3 linked regions of the Schizosaccharomyces pombe genome follow. Changing the gene in region 3 together with the main gene of any one other region gives a genetic interaction. Each region holds a gene or a part of one and is shown on either strand. Other genes may lie near its edges.

Region 1 (7,828 bases), on a different chromosome or scaffold from region 3:
TCCAGCTCGCTTGCTAATTTACCCATTCTCCTTGCAATCCACCCCGCACTACACTATGCAACATACCGTGTTTCACCGTCGTCTCTCCATATTCGCTTGAGTTCTTGGCGTTCTCGCAAACAAACTGGATGTCTCATAAAAGGAATTCCTCTTTTTCTTTTCTTTTTTTTTTTTGAATCTTTCTTACTCCCTTTGTCCTTCGCACACTTGATAAAACAGAGGAAATTGATTTTCAACAAAGCAATTGACTTTAAACTAAATTCACTTTGTTGTTCATTCACTTGTTATCCATCGATTTTGTTCGCTTCCTCGCTTCCAATTCAATTCATTGCACTCCCACCTACTGTATTTCTTCTCTTCTTCAAATTTTATTCCAGACTCTTTTTTTTTCGCATCATCCCAAGTCACATACTTTACAATTCATTTCGCATCGTTCTTTTTCTTTCGCACGCATCCCCCGCCATCCTACATACTATTTTCACATTTACTCTATCCATCCCAAATTTACCCTAAATTATCTACCACCATTCAAATCCGCTCTCTACCCAACAACCTCATTTACATGTGCCAATTCCTAAATCACATGTTTACCATGATATGTCTAACGGTATTCGAGGCGTGATTTCTAAAAAGTCATGCAATTCAACATAAATTTTCCCCAAAATTCATCGATAATCCTGTTACCTTTTTTTGTTATAAATATTCATTCCCTTTTCTCTTTTCTTTCACATTTGTCAACGCATTCTCTCACCGTTTCACTTGTCTCAATAGCTTTTTTACAAGAGCGTTCACTCCCATTTCACTTATTTCTTGTCTCCATTTTTTAATTCTCTGTAAATTTTATCCAATTCCTTTCTCAATTGCTTTTATATCGAGAAACGAATTAATTTCACCTGACTATATTGATTTGTAACCCAACCCACTCATCATTGATCGCACTTTTCCTTACCCATTTGTTTACTGGATTCCATCCGATAACCTATGCAATCCTAAAATAGCGAGACTCGTGAAGTAACATACTGCGGGTCTCGCTATTTCGGTGGTGGTTTTCTTCTCACTATTTCTCTATTTCACGATGGGCAAATTTTTCTTTATGATGAAAATATCTTTTTCCCTTTCACGTTCCAAGTTCTGAAATCATTACTTACAAATTACTAAATTTCCTTTCTAACATCTTTCTCACTACTTTCCTAAATTACTCCTCGATGTGTTATTGCCATTGCTCCAACTTTCTCCGTTCTTTATACTTGAAATACAGTTAACCCTTTATAATGACTACCATTTTACTTGCTATTACGACTCGCTATTTTTGCGTTATATTGCTACTATTTTCAACCTTATAGGAATTAATGTTTCAAGACATCGATCTATTGAATTTAATTGGTTTGATTTGATTTGAATTATAATCTACTAGGAGTCTTTTTCCTTTTCAGAACTTTTTCTACGTTTGTGTATGACACTGTCTCTTCTTCAACTACATCTACATGAACGAATCTTGCCAGTAGTGAAGGTTAGACATTCTATTTTTTCATGAGAATTTTACAACAGCGACATGCTGTTTTGCTAAATTTGGATGTTTCAATTTGCTATATTTCTAGAATCAATAATACGTATTATACAAATTTGCTCTTCATTTCAATGTAAATAAAAGTATCAAGTTTTTCTATTCAGTAGACTTAGCGTATAGGGTTGACGTAGTGTTGTTGACTGAAGTGTGGCATATATTACTAGCGAAGCTTTTTTTTTTTTACACTTTGCTTTAGCGAATTCGCTTAACATTTGCCGTCAAAAATTGTTTAAAATAGGAATGCCGAGTGAACCACCCCCCTAAATTGCCAACTGATTAAACGTGTTTCATTAGCACTTGACTTTTGGAAATATAATAATCATTACTTGAAACTAGTTATCCCACTTCGCATTGCTTACCCACACCTACAAATACCTTAACATCAAATCTTTATTTACCCTTTCCCTCTTCCAAAACGCCAGTTTGTTTTAATAATGCAATAAAAAAATACTCTATGAACATACAAGGAATTACCATATAATGGCAACATTACGGCGTGGTATGATATGTTATGATATGAACAAGCAACATTTCAAACTACATAATTAAGCACTATCAAACAGAAAACACATGTGACCACATAGCCATATAAATCACACACATATATATATTGAAAAACTTCATAAATTCGATTGTCCCAATAAAATCGATTTTACCCTTCCATTAATAGCATCTTGTCCGCAATTATTTTTAGCCTATTTTTGAATCCTTATAAAAAGCATTTTCCAACTTCTACGTTATCAAACTTTTTGATCATAAGTTCAATTTAAGCATTACCGTACCAACCTCCTGGTCGGTTTATAAATGACTGGTTGTATGCATTATAGCCTCCTAATCCATTACTACCTGCATTGGTAGATGCTCCAGAGTTGAACGGAAACCCAGCGGGTTGGCTGTTTGCATTGTTGACCTTGTTAGCATTGCTTTGAAAAGAGGTTGTCTGCTGAGTAGCAGCATTGGTCAATGGCGTTTGTTGAGGAGGTAAGCCATAAGGAGAGGCCGCATTGGCACTAAGGTTTTCAAAACTTCCAACATTACCCATAAACATACCAGGAGCCGCACGTCCCATCCCTGACATGGAAGACAAACCACCCAAAGTACTTGACATGCTGTTCGCCCCGGTTACGCCTCCATTTCCAATCACAGAGTCACGATGTCCAGCCGCTTTCTCAGTCATGCCGCTAGTATTTGCAGTGGCATTATTAATTGGGTTGCTAGTTTGTGTTCCACTCATACCACTTACATTGCCAGGCTGTTGTCTGTTGTACACGTTGCTGTGTCCACCAAAGATGGGAGGGAAATCATTAAAGCCGCTCTGAGACATGTATCCTTGCTGGGGCTGTCCAAACTTGTTATTATTGTAAGGCATCGTACCGTATCCATAAGACACATAAGGAATAGGATACATTGGAGGAAATGCATAAGGTTGGGGCTGTTGTTGAGAAACAACAGGGCTAGGAGTCGCTGTTCCAGCAGCAGGTAGAGAAGTAGCATTAGAAGATGCAACCTTGTTATGCATTACCGAGTGCACATCTGGTGTATTCGACGCACTACCAGCGACATTATCATATTGTGAGTATTGATTACGCTCATTATAGTAATGAGCTGCTGGTGCAGCTTGACCATATTCAATAGGAGACATAGTAGTGTATGCTGGATGACTAGTCTGTTGATATTGTTGAGAAGTATTTGAAGCATATCCCAATTCAGTACTATGGTCGATGTGTTGAAAATTGTCGAATGGGCTATTGGCGGAGCGGTTTTCCACAGGATTCATAAATCTAGAAGAATATGGAAGTGCAGTTGTCTCCCCAGCATTTGAAGATGCAGTTTCGTTGTTAAAAGCAGCTCCGGTAGACGGAGGAATAAGACTAGCACCAGCATATGGTTGAGGGGAAATTCCATGTGTAGCAGGAGAATAAATACCGCCATATCCGGCACTTTGTTTACCAACCACCGGGCCACTTGTAGCACTTGTGGATGCAGCGGGTATAGTCGTTTGGGCTGATACTTGAGGAGGGATGGCCGAGACAGAAGAGGCGTTTCCACTGGCCGGTAAATTTACATCGTGTAAACCACGATATGGTGTCTCGTTAACATGAGATTCCTTCAAGTTTTCGGGAACCTTCGATTGTGGAGCACGGCTTTCATATGCTGAAGTGTGTTGTTTCTTTGGGATTTTGGTGGATTCAGCAACTTTGCTCGCCTCTTTTTTTGCCTCTGGCTTTGGTGAAACTGTCTTTTTAGGAAAATAGGAACTTCTTGGTCCAGACTGTGCTATGTTGTCTGAAGAAGACTTTGTCGATTTTTTGTCCTCACCCCCAAGTGTCAAGCTTCCGAAACGCACTTGAACCTTTTCGGGAATAGCAGCAGTATTAGCAACAGGCATAACGACGGGGAATCTATCAGAAAGTAATCGAGCAGTAGTCATACTAGTTGTAGAGCTTTGAGAGCCAACAGCGGCTTGCTTCGCAAAGGAGGGCTTAGGTAGGGAAGCAGAAGAGATGTTGGAAAGCCCAGGAGCGGGCTTGACTGCATTTATGGCAAATGGGGCAGTACTCTTTTTGGGAGCTGAGGTAGCTGTGGAGGGGGTCGTTTCAACATTTGCGGGAGTTGCAGAGTCCTGGGATTTGTGAGGGAAAGGAACAGATGAGGATGACAGTTCAGCAGGTTTTTCGTAAGCAGCGGAAACATTAGTTTTAGAGGGTTGAGAAGGAGCGATAGAGGGTTTAGAAGGTTCGGATTCGGGAGCGGGAGCGGGAGCGGGAGTGACCTTTTTCTTCGACTTTGCAACTGAAGCCCAAGCCTTCTTTATAGGCTTTGAAGATGCAACAGCCTGATCAGCCGCACTGGTCGACTTTGCTGAGGCCGAAGTACCGCCTGCGGTGCCGTTCGTATTTGTTGAAGCAGCGGTATTAGCCGATGTTAAAACTGAAGCTTGTTCATTAGATGTAGTATGATCTTTCATTGAGGAATCTTCATTAATAGTACCAGGATCAACGGAAGAAGACACTGTCGTTGATGCAGGAGCTTTGGTAGAAATTTCTGAGGAAGGAAGATCGCCAGTACCAGCAGGCTTTTCTAAAGAGGATGGTGCATGAACGGAAGAAGGATCTGAGGGAGCTCCTGCTTTTGATTTTCGAACCCCCCGAGAAGTATCCTTAGAAGCGGAAGGTTTCTTTGATTTACGTGTAGCATTACGAAAGGTGGAAGAGACATTATCGGAAACTGGAGCATGACTTGTTGGTTTGGACTTTGTTTTAGGGATTGGCTTCTTTTTAACTTCACCCCATTTGGAGGCGTGACCTTCAGTAATATGCAATATGGTCAGTTCCAAATCCCGGTCCGCTTCTTCTAAAGCAAAACTTAAATCATCAATCGTCCAGCTAGGAAACAGCTCTTGCAATACGCTTAACTGCGAATCACGATCAAATTCGAGCTCAAGCGCATTTGATCCCTCTATATTACTAGTCTGAGACGAATTTGCCGGGCCAGATTTTCCTTTGGTGCCTCGCCTTCCCTTCGCTCCTCTCTTGGCGGAAGAGGATGAAGTTTTATTATCTTGCGATATATTTAACGCTGTATCTGTGTGTTGCTTTTCTGAAACTTGTTCGGTATTTCCGACCTTCTTTGGCCGAAACTTTTTATTCTCACTCATTTTTGATTCTACTTTTCTTTACAAAAATTAATACAGGTCTTGAAAATCGACAAGGCACGTGTATTCGTGCTTCAAGACGATATGCAAGATTTTTCGTGTTATTTAAGGGTAGTGGTTCTGGCTGCGTTTTGGTGTCGTGCAGCATAGTGCTTTTGCTTAAATGGAAATTGCCTATACCAGAGCAAGGTGGTAGTGAATGCGCTAAAGTGCAAACTATAGCTTTCCTTGAAATTTTTATACATAGAAAAACTTATAACGTTATAAAGAACAATGTTATTGTTTAAATTTTACTTTACTTTTTCTTCATTTTTGCGATTACCTTTTCTAAAAGCTTGATTTATATAGTAGTGGAGTGCAGTTTACTATTGTATTTAACGATTTACCGTTGTGTATCTTTATTGCTCTTAAGACAATAGCTAGTTAGCTGCTTGCCTGAATACATGAAAATATGATGAAAGTAGAGCTCATTGTATTAACTTTTCTATTGCCCAATTTCTTCGATACTGTTAAAAGATGTGCAATTCGTTTAGCTAAATTCAAGTTGACTAAACACCTTTCGTTCCATGCTTTGCTATTACAGATTCCTAACACGTTGGTATGTTTAGAAATTTGCAATGCAATATCGGGTATTCAGTTGGTCAATTTATGAAAACTTTAATTACTGCTTCAAGTAATAATCCATCCGTTCTAATTACGCGGCTTCAGTAACATTCGAAGCTCTTCATTCACTTTGTTGGGTTCAAGTGAACCACACTTATAAACGTGATGCCCTTTATCTAAAAAAATAAATATGAAGCCTGCTAATATTAAATTAACAATAAAAACAAGAAACATTGCTTTGGCCGGGAATCGAACCCGGGTCGAATCGATGGCAACGATTCATTATACCACTAAACCACCAAAGCTTGTTAGAATGCTCTATTAAAAAGCATATATCTATTTAATTGTAGAGTTATAAAAACATAGAATATTGATAAAATAACATTATAATTTATTCAAAAAAACTAAATTGTACAGCTGAATAATCGCCTAGTTATATTAAGATAAATTCTAAAAGCATTATTATCAAAGTTTCTGTCAATGCTTATAACTAATGTGTCAAATGGTTTGATGAAGCGTTCGCATTATTTTACTATTTCATCTTTAATTTTGTCATTTTTTACAAATTTTCGTTGTTTTTTAAAAAAAATTGCTGTGAACTTTAGTAGTATCATCTCGCAATTTATATTGATTTTTCTTCTTTTTATTTTTATTTTATTTTTTTATTCAATTGTTAGTAACCAAAATTAAGTCACCATTTTTGGCAATTCAAATGACTAACTAATTATAAAATAATAAAATCAAACGTGCTAAGATTCTATGTTTAAATTGCTAAAGTCAATACTCTCTTCTTGTGAAGAGTCCATTTTCAAAACGACAACATAACAGAAAACTGTAAAGAGTAATGAAAAGAAACCCACATTTCAAGGAATAGCATATCTATCTATTGTTGCACTATAATTTTTTAACAAAAGCGGCACATTAGAAACCATTTTCTCAAATAAAAAATTGATTTTACATTGAAAACTGTCAACGATGAACAATAAACAGTGCATTCGTATGACAACAAGATATGGACAAGTTAATTCGTACGCTAGAATTGTTCTCAAATGTTTACAGATAGGTTTGATATATTTCAAAATCTTTATTTGTCACTATTTTTTACAGTATCATCAACAAAGCAGCATAAAAAATTCAGTGAAGCCGTTAACATTGTAAGAATAAAATAATATTCCGAAAAAAAAAGAAAGGAGCCTACAGCACCCCGGATTCCCATGTTGTCTCCAACCATAGTACTAACGAGGCCCTCAGACGCTTAACTGCAGTGATCGGACGGGAACTGGTGTTTTCGCCTAGGTGTGGCCGTAGACAGTTACTAAGCATATTTAATAAATTTATACACATACCTAAAGCTGCGAACAAGTATTAATCAGGTTTTGAAATAAATGTAATTTATATTCCTTCATGTGAAGCTAATAAAATAAATTGATAATAAAGATATCTTACTTTAAGTTCTCATATGTGTTTAAACTGAGTATTTACAATCCAGCATATTTTGTGTTGTTTGAGAATATGTCTCCAAAAGAAGTGCGTCTTCTTTTATATAAGTAGAAAGTAAAGGGACAAAACAATTTCAATTCTATTCATTCGAAACGCTTATCGGGAAAAGTATTTCCGATTCAGAGGAATAAAAAAGAAAGACAAAAAACTTCAGTGGTTTATTCAAATCAGCCAAGACGAGTCCCAAGTTAAAACGACAAACAGTATTTTAACATTATTGAAAATATCATAAACTAAACCGATTTCAACCCTTTCCAAAATCGACCCTTCTCGAAACTATTGGAAACCAGTTTATATGTAATACAATGGCAAGACTGAATTTCTTATAGTATGTAAAAGCACTGTTTTAAAGCATAATGAAGATATCTCTAATCCCAAATAAACATTGAGCTTGCGAAATTTACGAAGCATATTAGATTGTGTATCTAGAGGTGAGCCTACTTTTTTTATTTTTCTTGATTATCAATGAAAGAATTCTAAAAAATATGTAAATTAAATAGATA
Region 2 (6,373 bases), 4.4 Mb from region 3:
AATATTTATCTCAGGTAAGCAAAAGCAAAGAAATGAGAAATTCTGAGATTGCTGTCCAATCATCTTAGTAATGCACATTGTATAATATAAGTTTTTGAAATTTACTCACAGGGAAGAACATCAGATGAAAAGAAAAGCGTAACAAAGAGACATTAAAAACAAGAACAAAATCCTCACGAAATATAACACATAAACATCCATTTCAAATACGCACATTTAATAAAAAATCAAACAGACTCATTGTTTAACAGTTTTCAAAGATAAAGCATGAAATTAACAATAAGGAGACCGGTTGAATAGAAGGGAAACACTGACCAAATAATAGCACAAGCACAACTAAACGCTTAACGATTAAAAAAATATCCCTTTAGCCGATTTGGGATGGAGAAGGAATTCAAGAAACCGGGATAATAAATTTCCTTGAAAAACGTTGGATAAATAATTATTCATTAAGTTACTAAACCCAAAGCGTAAATGCTACTAGGGTCAGTTCATAATTACATATGTCATAAATGCGAAGTCGTTAGTATTATAATTTCAAATTTATAAATAAAACTTGAAACAGTAGTAAACAATGGATTAAAGATGATCTTCAACATTCTCATCCAAAACGAAATCATCATGTGTCTCGACTGGTTGAGGTTCGGAGTCGAAAATCTGAACTATGTCGGCAAAATATTTTTGATTCGCTTCAAATGAATGCCATTCTTCTTCATCTCGAATTAAGAACCCAAAGATCATACAGGGATCAAGATCTTGTATTGCTACTCTTCGTAAAGTAGCACTATGAAAAGTTTCCTCGGAAGCAGGCTGGGTGGTAGTGTGAGCAAAGTGAGTACAATGAGGATCCAGATAAAAAAAGTACTGATTTTGTCTTGCATAAAAGTAATGAGCAGACCTTGGACGACCTCCAGTGATGCCAACAAATGAACGAATTTCAAACACCTGAAGCAACTGATCGTAGTATGATTCATTAATTGAATCAATTCCTAAACGGGTAGGAATTAAAAGTAAAACAGGAAAGGAGACCTTTGAAAGTTGATCTCGGTATATAGCATTTCCATTCCTGGCAACATAAACGTGTAATGGGACGTCCGGGTTCTGATCACTTAATCGACTTTAACAAAAAGTTAGTAAATGTCATACTGACTGAATTCCAAAAAAAAAATAAAACGTTCAAAATTTTTCTTCTTTTTTTTAAAAAGGATAAAAAAGAACGGAAGAAATTCGAACTATGTGAAGAGATCAATTGTTCTTTTATCGACCAGAAAACTCAATTTAAATAACAAGAAACACTTACGCAACACAAGAACAAGATGTTGTAGGTCCAAACCATTGCCCTGGATTAATATCGCACAAAGTTTTGCCCATTGTAACAAATTGATGGATAGAAAAAGGGGCTGAAGGCTCATCAGCAAATAGTGCCAATATTTCTTTCAATTGTTTTTCAGGATAGCAGATTCGTAAACAATTTGCTAATAGTGTCTGAGTGGATCGAATCATACAACCCCAACCGGTGTCAGATGTCATATTTTCAAGCCCTTCAATACCACTACGATAAGTGATTGTAATAAGAGAGAATGAGTCGTATAAAAATTTTTCAGGCCATTGGCTATCTTCAATTTTGTAAGAATGTCCTAAAAACCAAATTAATGTCCCTGGAGGCTCGGTGTTTGTCGGTGCAAAATGTAAATATCGCTCTAGAAAGCGAGCCATAAGCTCCATTCCCCTTTTTGAAATTTTTTTCTATTACCTTTATTTTTTCTCAAAATATTTAAACCAAACTTCACGTCGTCAGATGTTCACATGAAAGCGTACATACACCCCCTTTAGACTAAGCAAAGGCTAACTTGATTAATATAGTGTTTGGGATAAGATATGGTGGGAGTGAAGTCATGTTTGCGAGTACTACTATGGTCTGCTAAATAACTTTACAAACACCTTAGTATTCGTAAATGATTTTGTGGAATTGTTTCAAATATTTTAATTAACTTTAATATGTCAGCAATACTACACTACGCTATGATACACTACGTTGCGTATCACTATATGTCATATGTTGGAATACTAGCTAAGATCCGTTTATTGATAATCACGGGTAACTATCCGTCTATATACATAGATACCCGTTGATAACAACTATTTAGAAATATTATAAATAGCGTTACAACTGAACCTCGTTCCTCAGTTCAGTTATGAGCTATATTAGTGATAGGTAACATTATAATCCAGTTAATACAATACCTATACTCAGTTGCTACTTATACAACCTGTGTATTGTAATATAATAGACCACAAGGAAAACTCACCGCAGTTCTACGTATCCTTAAATCAGATACCAAACTGCGTAGCTTACATAATATTACGTTAAACTACGATAAGTACTTACGACCTGCTTTATTATACGAAAAGTAAATAATGTGATACAATAACTGGAGCAACGCAAAAATCTCCGTAGTAAATGAAGTTCAGGCTTGCTCCATCACCGAGCAAACGAATAAATGAACAGTTTTGAGTCTAGAGACAAAAATATTATCGATTGATATTTGTTCAAAATAAAGGACATGAATTAGTAGCTTTCCATGCGATATATGTTTTCATTTTAAAGATATTACCAACAATTACAGTTTAAAAAAGATACAGAATCCACATAAGAGTGATATCTTTTAAATGTGCTTTTTAAAAGTAGAAATGCTCGATAGTAGTCAGTACTATAAATATTTTTTAGAGAACTCGTTTTAATTATCCTTTTTTGTTACTACATTATTCTCATAATTTTAAAGTTGATTAACGCAATGTGTAATTTTAGCCTCACTGCTGGATAACTTGGCCTATTCTATGCATATCCATACGATATTATCGGTGATCTAAGGAAGAAGGGACTAAAACTAAAGAAGTAAATTATTATTTATTGAATTCCGCATTACTTAGACTTGAAACTGTTTAATATATCTTAAAAGAATAAAAATTAAGACACTTGGTCATTGGGCAACTTCAATGAATTTCAAGAACACCGACTAGAATGAGTTCCGACGATGCTATAATAATTCGATGCCCTTTTGATTGTGAATTTGCTGGTGACTCGATTTCTTTTATAAGCCACCTTACAACTATACACAATTCGTCAGTACAGACGTTAGCTAAGAATGCTTATTTATGCGCATCAGAGATTGCCAATGAGCTCAACCAGAATCCAAATTTGAAAGACCAAGAAATACTTTTACTACAAATTGCTCAAGAAAATTCACTTAAACGAGTCTTAAGGCAACAGCAAAAAGAACGGAGAGAGGGAAAAATAAAATCCTTACAATGTTTGTTCTGTAATAATGAAGGTCTTTTAAACCGTCAAGAATGGTTTGAACATAGTTTTCACGTTCACGGGCTTAATATCGGATTAGCAGACAATATTGTTTACATAAATCGGTTACTTGAAAAGATAAAGAATGAACTAGAAAGGTAATCATATTTATCAGTTTTATTTGTGTTATTACTTCTTTCCGTCATATTCTAACATCGTTTGATAAGTTTTAGATGTCTATGCTGTCATGTCCCTTGCAAAAATAAAAAGCTTTTACGAGAACACATGAATAACAAGCGGCATTTCCGGCTTGACCCAAAATCGTCAGAATACGATGAGTTCTATATTATAAATTATGCTTCTGTTACAAAAAGTATCACCATTTCGCATTCACAGTTTGCAATTAATGAAGACATAAATGAAACTGATGATACTATATCTGAGTATGTATTCAAATATTCCTTTTTTTTTAACATTTTACAGTATAAATGATGAGGATGCAGAACCATTATCTGTGGAATGTATATTTTGCACTAATTTCTATGAACCAGTTTTTTGTTTTGAACATTGCAAAATCGTTCACGATTGGGATATCAAGAAAATTCAAAAGGATTACAGCTTGGACGTTTATGGGGCCATAAGGGTGATAAATTATTCCCGGAAAACTAAAAAGAAGTCTATTCCAGCTGAAACAGATAGTTTTTGGAAAGAGCCTGGATGGTTGATTCCTGTAGTGCCAGACGATGCTTTAATAATTTGCTTAAGTGAGGTGATTGAGGACCCTCGACTTTAGTTTGATGTTTCCTAACATTATCCTCTTGTTATGTATTTAAATAAATCACTTAACAATTTAAGGCATAGTTTCCTGAAGTCTCGTAAAGACATTAATAAGAGGGAAAGATATTTAAAAAAACGGTTATAATATAGATAACACCTACACTGGTCGCTGAGAAAGATTTGAATGTGAAGTTGAAGACACGAATTATTTATTTGACTTAATGTATGTATAAAAGGTTCTACCTAGTTTTATTGTTTTAGGCTGTCTTTATATATTTAACGGAATTATTTGTCTGTATTTTCATAAAAATGAACACCCTGTTTACTGTTTGCTAGATTTGCTTTATATAATTCTACTTACAATGAATCTTATTTCAATTAATCATAATAATTATATTTGCTGTTTACTTCACTCGATTGCGATTATTTGCAAAACTGTGATTAATTACTACCTTTATCTTTAGCAGATGGAAATTCTTAATAGTCATTGTATGTAAAATTATATAAAACTCAATATTTTCCCTTGAAAAATAATTGGTTAGTCGAACTTGTATTGCGATTGACTTTCATATACACCTTGGCTGGTATAACCAGCGCTTACTTTACCTTGCTATAAACCAACAAAGTCAATATTCCTAAAACTTTTTTAAAAAGGGAATATTTTAGACGAATTATTACCGAGAGAAGGTAAAAGGTGTAACTTAATTAATAAATAGCATGGCCATTGAACTAGGAGAACGTATTTCGACATCGGTCGGATTTTTAGCGGAACTTTTCCTTATGAAAATTCCACTCTTCACTGTGATTGTTGCCCTGTTAACTATCATTCTTGGAATCGTAAACATTTTCTTGCCTATCGTTGACTTTTTTGGCCTAAGCTGGCATAATTTAATAAACATTCGCCGTATGTTAGAATAAATATATATTCCTGAAACAAACTGACAAAGTACGCAGTTCATACCCTAAACACATATCCGCTCGTTCATCATGGAGTAATTTCTTTCATTTTAGGACTTTTAGGAATTTTTCTTCTTATGCCACGTTTTGAACGCAGATACGGAACATTATGTACAATCGCCATGTTTTTTGGATTTTTGGAAGTAATTCCTGCCATTGCATACTTAATAGCTTGCTATGTTGCTGAGTCTGACGATGTCTATGTTGGTATTGGGTATGTTTTTTGTCTCTCATAAATGATATTAAATTGTTTGAAAATTTATATCTAACTTTTTCACCTTAAAATTCTTTTCTTGGATATACATGCTAATGTTTTTAGTGGTTGGGTTTATTCGCTTCTGGCTATGTATCTCTTGAATCTTTTTGGAGATTTGCATCCCAAACTGTATGACTGTACTTATTCAACGTTATAATTAACAATATTTTAGTTTGAATCTTCCTCAAGTCGTAAGGATGGCATTAGCTTTAGTAGCTCCTGTCTTAGGACTTCCGTTAGATTTTTCAATTACGATCGTTTTGCACCTTACTGCTGTCGTTATTTCTATTATATTTTCCTTCGCTTATATGGACTTTTTCCTGCCACGAGGAGGCTTTCTTGTCTGGGTTGAAACGAAATTTTCTAAAATTATCGATGCTATCCCCAATTATATATCCGTGACAGAAGCTGCTTATTATCAGGCAGACGGTGCTATCCCTATTCAAGATTTGGGTAGTAACAGCAGTGGTATTGTATAAAAGCTTTATAGTTATATTTACTGTTGTACAAATTTGCCTACTTCTGTAACCGTTTCATATGTTTAATAATCCTTTAGCAAGTCAAAAAACGCCAAATCTCTAATGAACAGTATATTTGTTTCGTATGATTCGTTTGAAAGTAATAATCGTCGTTTTTTTTTTGAATTCTATTACAGTAAAAGTCATTCAAGGACATGACTAGACTTATTGAAAGTATCAAAAATGATGATTTTAGTATTTTTTGTAATTACTTTAGTAATATCGTAATTACGAGTTTTGACACTATCTTTAGAGGTGACTCATTCATGCTTTGCCAAATGCGATAAAACCACTTATTTTTATTGTACCTTCAGTGGGGGTTTTAGTAAAAAATACCAATCTTCATAAATGTTTCCATTGTTTTTTCTTTACTGACGGACAATACTAACTAACTTACCAAGTTGTTAGTATCTACGCCAGACCTACTCTTTACCAAGACCAACCGCTGATAACATATCTTAACGTATCCTTGGAATTTAAACGTTTACCAAGGACTATATGAGGCGATTGTCAATAAAGAACACTTCGATTTTGTTTATATTAGCTAGTCATTCATGTCGAAACGAT
Region 3 (5,633 bases):
TTGGCTGTGGTGGTATTTAAGATTTTACCTTGGTGTACCCTATTGCATTCATTTCCACAACGCACCTCTCGACATTCAAGCAGTAATGCTAATCTCTATCATCATAGAACCCTTTATTTGATAATTTTCATTATTTATGAGTCAAGTTTTATCATCATAATTAGAAGATCGGCTGTACAACTTGACTCGACATATTTTACACTGTTTGCGTCTCTCTTTGTAAAAATTCATCCATTGTATAATTGCATTCAAGTTTATTTTAATATATTATTTCAGATTTTCTCCCTTTTATTTAATATGGCGTTGATAGAGGATTTGAATCACTTTATCAATTATTTTCCTCTAGTATTGAGATTATTCTTCTTGGTCGTATTTGGTCTTTATTCTTTCACATTGATATTACATCTATTAGTGATAAATAGGGTCGACGTGTTCTCATTATTACATACTCCGTTGCCTGTCAATCGATCACAGCAAGCTAATGCTCCTCTATGGCAATTGTCATTCTCCCTATCTATATTAGGTACTCTACTTTTCGTAATAGCCGAATCCTTATATTTGATTTCTGGGTCTGATGAATTGGCATACGTCCCCGTTTTTATTTTTGGTGTTATTGTTTTTATGCCTGTACATAAGTTCTGGTTCTTCCAGAGAAAGGTGTTTACTCGACAGTGTCTAAGGATTTTGGGAGGAAGCTACAGACCTGATTACAAATTTCCCGATGTTATATTTTCTGATTTATTGACTTCTTACTCGAGGGTCATTGCTGATCTCTGGCTAGCTGGAGCAATCTTGATTTACGTAACTGACTCACCTAATAACTCTCATAGAAAACAATATGAAAATGAGGTTATTATGTCAATGATTGCAGCGTATCCATACGCTATCCGATTTCGTCAATGTTTGATTGAAAGAAGCTCTGCGGATAATTCATCAGATAAATTTTGGAGTACATTGAATTCTATCAAGTATTTCACTGCTTTTCCAGCGATATTCCTTGGGATTTTTGCAAAGAAAAGATTTAGCTTTCTATGGTTTTTATGGAATACCTCTTCAGCTATAAATTCAACTTATTCATTTTGGTGGGATGTTTCAATGGATTGGAGTCTTCCCTTTTTTAAGCAACCGTTATCAATCCAAAACTGGAAATTTGGGGTTCGGCGTTTATTCCCAACATTCACATTTGCAGTTGTAAGTGCGATTGATTTTGTTTTGCGAATGGCCTGGGTAGTTCGCGTTTTGCCTGAACATCAATCCGCGTTTTTTACCACCGACTTTGGGATCTTTATAATGCAATTTCTTGAAGTTTTCCGACGTTGTGTTTGGGTTTTTTTTCGGATAGAAGCCGAAGCTTCTAAATCATTGGCCTATGTTAACATAAGTGATCGTAGTGACATCCCGACAATACATCCAGATTAAATGGAAATGATTGAAGTTACTATTGTCACATATGTGTAGGTATTACATCTGCAACCTTTTCAAAAAATTTCTTTCTTTAGGGCGTATCAATTTACCGTTCTATTATTTGCTTGGCATATAATATGTTTTTCATTCTTTTATTGCGCTAATGGTTTAATATTGCAAGTACATTGTCATTTGCGGACTTGCAACACAATGGCACCGTCTCGCTGAATTGGGTTTACTTAAAGTAAGAAAGTTACTTAAAATTTTATTATGGATATATACTTTTATTTGTTACATGGGAATCGTAATGGGTTTGAACAAATTTCACCATCTTTTACTGATTAAGTTGTTGAGTCAAAAGTTTAAAACATGAATTTAATAATAAATAAATAAATCAAGCTCTCTTTTTGCATACTGAATAACAAACTAGATCAGTAGACTTTTTTATTGTAAAAACATAATCAGTAAGTATGAAAAGAACCTCCCAAAGAAAACCCCCCAAATTAATCATGCATTTATAGTGTACTCAAATTCCTTCCAAATTTACCTAGACATGAGCATGCTCTATTTATCTACTATCCAAAGAGTTTCCTAAGTGCTCCCGTACCGTTTCCAAAGGATTTGAAACGAATGAAGGGTGCTTCAATATGGCTTGGAACCTTTCGATTTCCTCAACGGTATTTCGTTTCATAGAACTCTTAGTTTGTTTAGAAGATAAACTATCCTTAATTACGGGCTTCAACCTGGAGTTAGCTACCGAAATATCAAGATCAATTTCTGGAAGTACTTCTCCAATCGAAGACACATTGACTTTCAGGTTTTCTCTGGCTTTACGGTTCCGGCGCTTACGAGCCGAAGCAGATATTTTTGGATTAGAAAATTTTTGCTGCCAGTTGAAATGACGGTCTTTCCGTTTATCTTTCTTTGTTTCTTTCAGCGGATCATTGTTGAGCACTTGACTATTCGAAGTAACGGTGGAAGATAACTCGACATTTGGAATACTAGCTTGTTGGCTAGGTTTACCAGAAGACGGTAAACGACTTGATGCTTTTGACGCTAGACTGACTCTTTTTTTTGCTTTTGGCTGTTGTCGTCAGCCAAACGTTTATCTATGGATGAACATACCATGCTAAAATAAAATTGATTGTGAATCAATCGATAAAAATCGTTTTAAATGTTAAATAGGATATATAACCAAAATAATATTTACGATTGGAGTGAAATATCTTGAATATTCGGTGTGCTTTCTGGTTTAAAAATTCACTACAACTATTGGCATCGGATTTAACGGACTGCCCTTGATTGCGTAAGTTGGTTTCATAATATTAGTATTTGAAATGAAAAACTTAACTTACATTAATTTCCATCTTATGTGCAATGAATTAAGAAACAACATTAATTAACAATTTTTATAAATTAAAGCAGTTTTAAATGAATGTCCAACATGGTTCCTAAAGTATTTGCAAACTAAACCCTATAGCCATTTTCCGAATATAAACATTGAAACTTGAAAAGAAAATACATACAAAAATAATTAGGTTAGAGTAACTGGAAGTTACATAAGAAGCCACACAGCCTAGACTTCCTAATCGATATAAAATACTATGAATTAATTACTGGAGCCAGCCAGGCTTGATGGAGCCTTAATTGAAGAAAAGGGAGATAGGGGAGCATTAGAAAACCTTTGAAGAACTTCCCTGTAAATAGAATTTTCAAAAGATTGTATGTCGATTGTTGAAAACGAGTAGCTTTCTTCATAAGCGTCTATAGAAATGCGATTTAAAAAGTTTCTTAATTGAGCGTCCGTTGTGTAAATGCCTAAAGAAGGGGTTCTTGTAGTTGAAGTAAGAATAGAATGTTCGGATTCAACACTGGATTTGTCGTCCTTCTCCGATGCTTGCTCCTGAAGTCGCTCAGAAACCTTTTGTACGAGGGATTTACGGCTAGTTTTTCCGCTCCAATAGACAGCATCTAGTGGACTAAGCATCACAACCCATTCATGTAGCGCAAATTCTTCAAGTTTGAGTGCAGTTAAAAAATCCAAAAGCCTGCATGCGTCTAATAATGTCTCTTTAGAAATGGCAACATTTGGCATACAGTAAGATTTAAAAATGATCAACAATTCGCTAACAACGATTGGCCATAATGGAAGCAAATGCTTCGAAGAGGTCCTTAAAGCTAGAGCTCTAATAAATAAAAACAGGTCCTTTTTTAATACTCCTTCAGGATCAGACGTTATAAGCCGTTTGACAAGGTCAATCAGAGGTGGAAGACTAGGCAGGAAAAAATCACGTGGAGAAGATAACATTAATATTGTGATCCGACATATGTTGCTCTGCCTTGCACCTAGTTGAGTATCCCGAGATGTAAATAAAGTAGTAACGCCTAAATCAGATTTTGTTATGAGATCATTTAATCTAGATATCTCTTGGTACAAAGCTGTGTATATTACTGGAGAAAGCTTTCTTAATTGATCAATATCGAACCTGAACAGTGAATTATCATTAAAAATTTCCCAAAAATCGCGCCTCCATGATTTACTCAAAAACGGATGTTTACTCAACACGAGCAATAAGTCCAAATGATAAGTGGTGAGTGATTCCGGAAATGTCCTAGCCTTTACTAAAGGAGTTATAAATACATTGACGATTGATGTAGCCCAAGCAACTAGTTTATCTTCTTCCTTAGAAAGCTCGGTTATTTTTGGAACAAACTCAGAACAGAAAAAGTCAAGCAAAGAGGGATCTAAGTATTTTACGAATAAATACACGGAGCTAGTTTTCTTTTGTGTTTTGGCAACCTCAAACGTGTCTGCAGCAGCTTTATGATACGCCAGAAAATCTACAGTTAGGTTTGGATCACTTGATTTTCCTGCATGAAATAAGACTGAGGACAATGTTTTCCCCATCAAATCAATAAAGTCTTTTTGCTGGCGAGATTCGCAATAAGTGTTCACGTTTTTTGCAACTTCCAGTAGCATTCGTAAACATACCAGCAAATAGTTTTTAAAGCTGTTTGAGGAAGAAATAATCTCCCGAACAAATTTTGAAATTTCCGTAAAAATCTTAGATGTGTTTTCGCCCTCCACTCTGGAGACGAAGTCAGACATACAGCATAAAATATCGAGTTGTGTAATCTTTGCTGTCAAACTAGAAGGCCCTGCATAACTAGCTATTCCTTCACGTGCAAAAAAAGAAGAAACTAATTGCTTAACAATGTACTGAGGTTCAGAATCACTAAGAAATGAAAATATATCCCATATACACTGGCAACACTCAACATTGTTCTCCAAATAGATTTGTACCAGCGTTTCTACGCATTCAAGAGGTTCACAGAAGTAAAACTCTTTTAATCCCGATAAGGATGCTTCTTTTAAAACCGATGAATCATTCATAAATACTTTTGACGTTTTATCAGCATATGAAGACCGAATATGCCATGAATATGATAAAAATAATGTTTGCAAAGCATCCTGCATAGTTAAAAGCATAGATAATCTCTTGTTGACATCGATGCTAACGCCTGACGACTCCGCTGCAAACACACCAGAAATGACATTTCCGATGATACCATTGGCTTCTAAATTACTTTTCTTGGGGCCGGGTGAATATGTGAATTCCAATAAGGCTGCTGAAACTAACTCGCTAAGCATTTTCAACTTAGCAATAAAAACATCCATGCACGCATAATCTTTTACTGGGTCAGGGTATTTTAGGTACATAGACTCGTGTTGGTCAAGAAATGAATGAACAAATTTGCACAAAGATTGAATGGGATTAACCATCAAAAGTTGAAGGTTTTGTAAAAGAAGAGGTAAAAGCTTCTTTATAGCATGTAGCCACTTTGGCGAAAGTCCTGGATCATCATTCAACATTCCAACCAAAACAAAATTGGACAACAGATAATGCTGTTCAGAGGAAAGATCTATAGTCCCATCTAATCGAGAGAGTAAAAATTCTAGCATTTGCAAAAGACTCAAAATAAAACTTCGATAAGTTGATGAAGGAGAACGCTCAACTTCCTGTACAAGCGCAAACAACCCAACGATTAGACTAGATTCAAATTTTAGAGGGTTTTCCCATATGGAGGTTATTTGGTAAAGCAATCGCAAAGCCCAGGTTTGAATAATATACACATCTGTGCTCGTTTTTATGTTTTGAGGAGTTAATACTATATCTAAGCACAGTTTGACTAAAAAAGCAAGAAATGAAGAGTAAGTTAAAGATTTT

The links. Genes that interact genetically often act in the same process or in processes that back each other up.
Region 1: mutations in slx9 (region 3) and def1 together harm fitness more than expected from each alone (negative genetic interaction), as found in Schizosaccharomyces pombe (one large-scale study listed by BioGRID).
Region 2: mutations in slx9 (region 3) and SPOM_SPAC19B12.07C together harm fitness more than expected from each alone (negative genetic interaction), as found in Schizosaccharomyces pombe (one large-scale study listed by BioGRID).

The regions. Positions count from the first base shown.
Region 1 is NC_003423.3:568,458-576,285, reverse strand, and holds def1 (RNAPII degradation factor Def1), read right to left. Parts: upstream 5,349-7,828; 5' UTR 5,226-5,348; coding exon 2,334-5,225; 3' UTR 1,966-2,333; downstream 1-1,965.
Region 2 is NC_003424.3:4,893,493-4,899,865, reverse strand, and holds SPOM_SPAC19B12.07C (zinc finger protein), read left to right. Parts: upstream 1-2,838; 5' UTR 2,839-3,022; coding exon 3,023-3,456; intron 3,457-3,525; coding exon 3,526-3,741; intron 3,742-3,781; coding exon 3,782-4,091; 3' UTR 4,092-4,408; downstream 4,409-6,373. Other genes in the region: Atg8 deconjugator Atg4, read right to left, coding at 580-1,117, 1,301-1,725; rbd4 (rhomboid family protease ), read left to right, coding at 4,793-4,979, 5,030-5,246, 5,352-5,417, 5,461-5,767; RNA polymerase II CTD phosphatase Fcp1, read left to right, coding at 6,361-6,373.
Region 3 is NC_003424.3:495,070-500,702, reverse strand, and holds slx9 (ribosome biogenesis protein), read right to left. Parts: upstream 2,647-5,633; 5' UTR 2,533-2,646; coding exon 2,530-2,532; exon of another isoform or gene 2,489-2,529; coding exon 1,973-2,488; 3' UTR 1,676-1,972; downstream 1-1,675. Other genes in the region: erd1 (EXS domain-containing protein), read left to right, coding at 298-1,419; dop1 (family protein DOPEY), read right to left, coding at 3,014-5,633.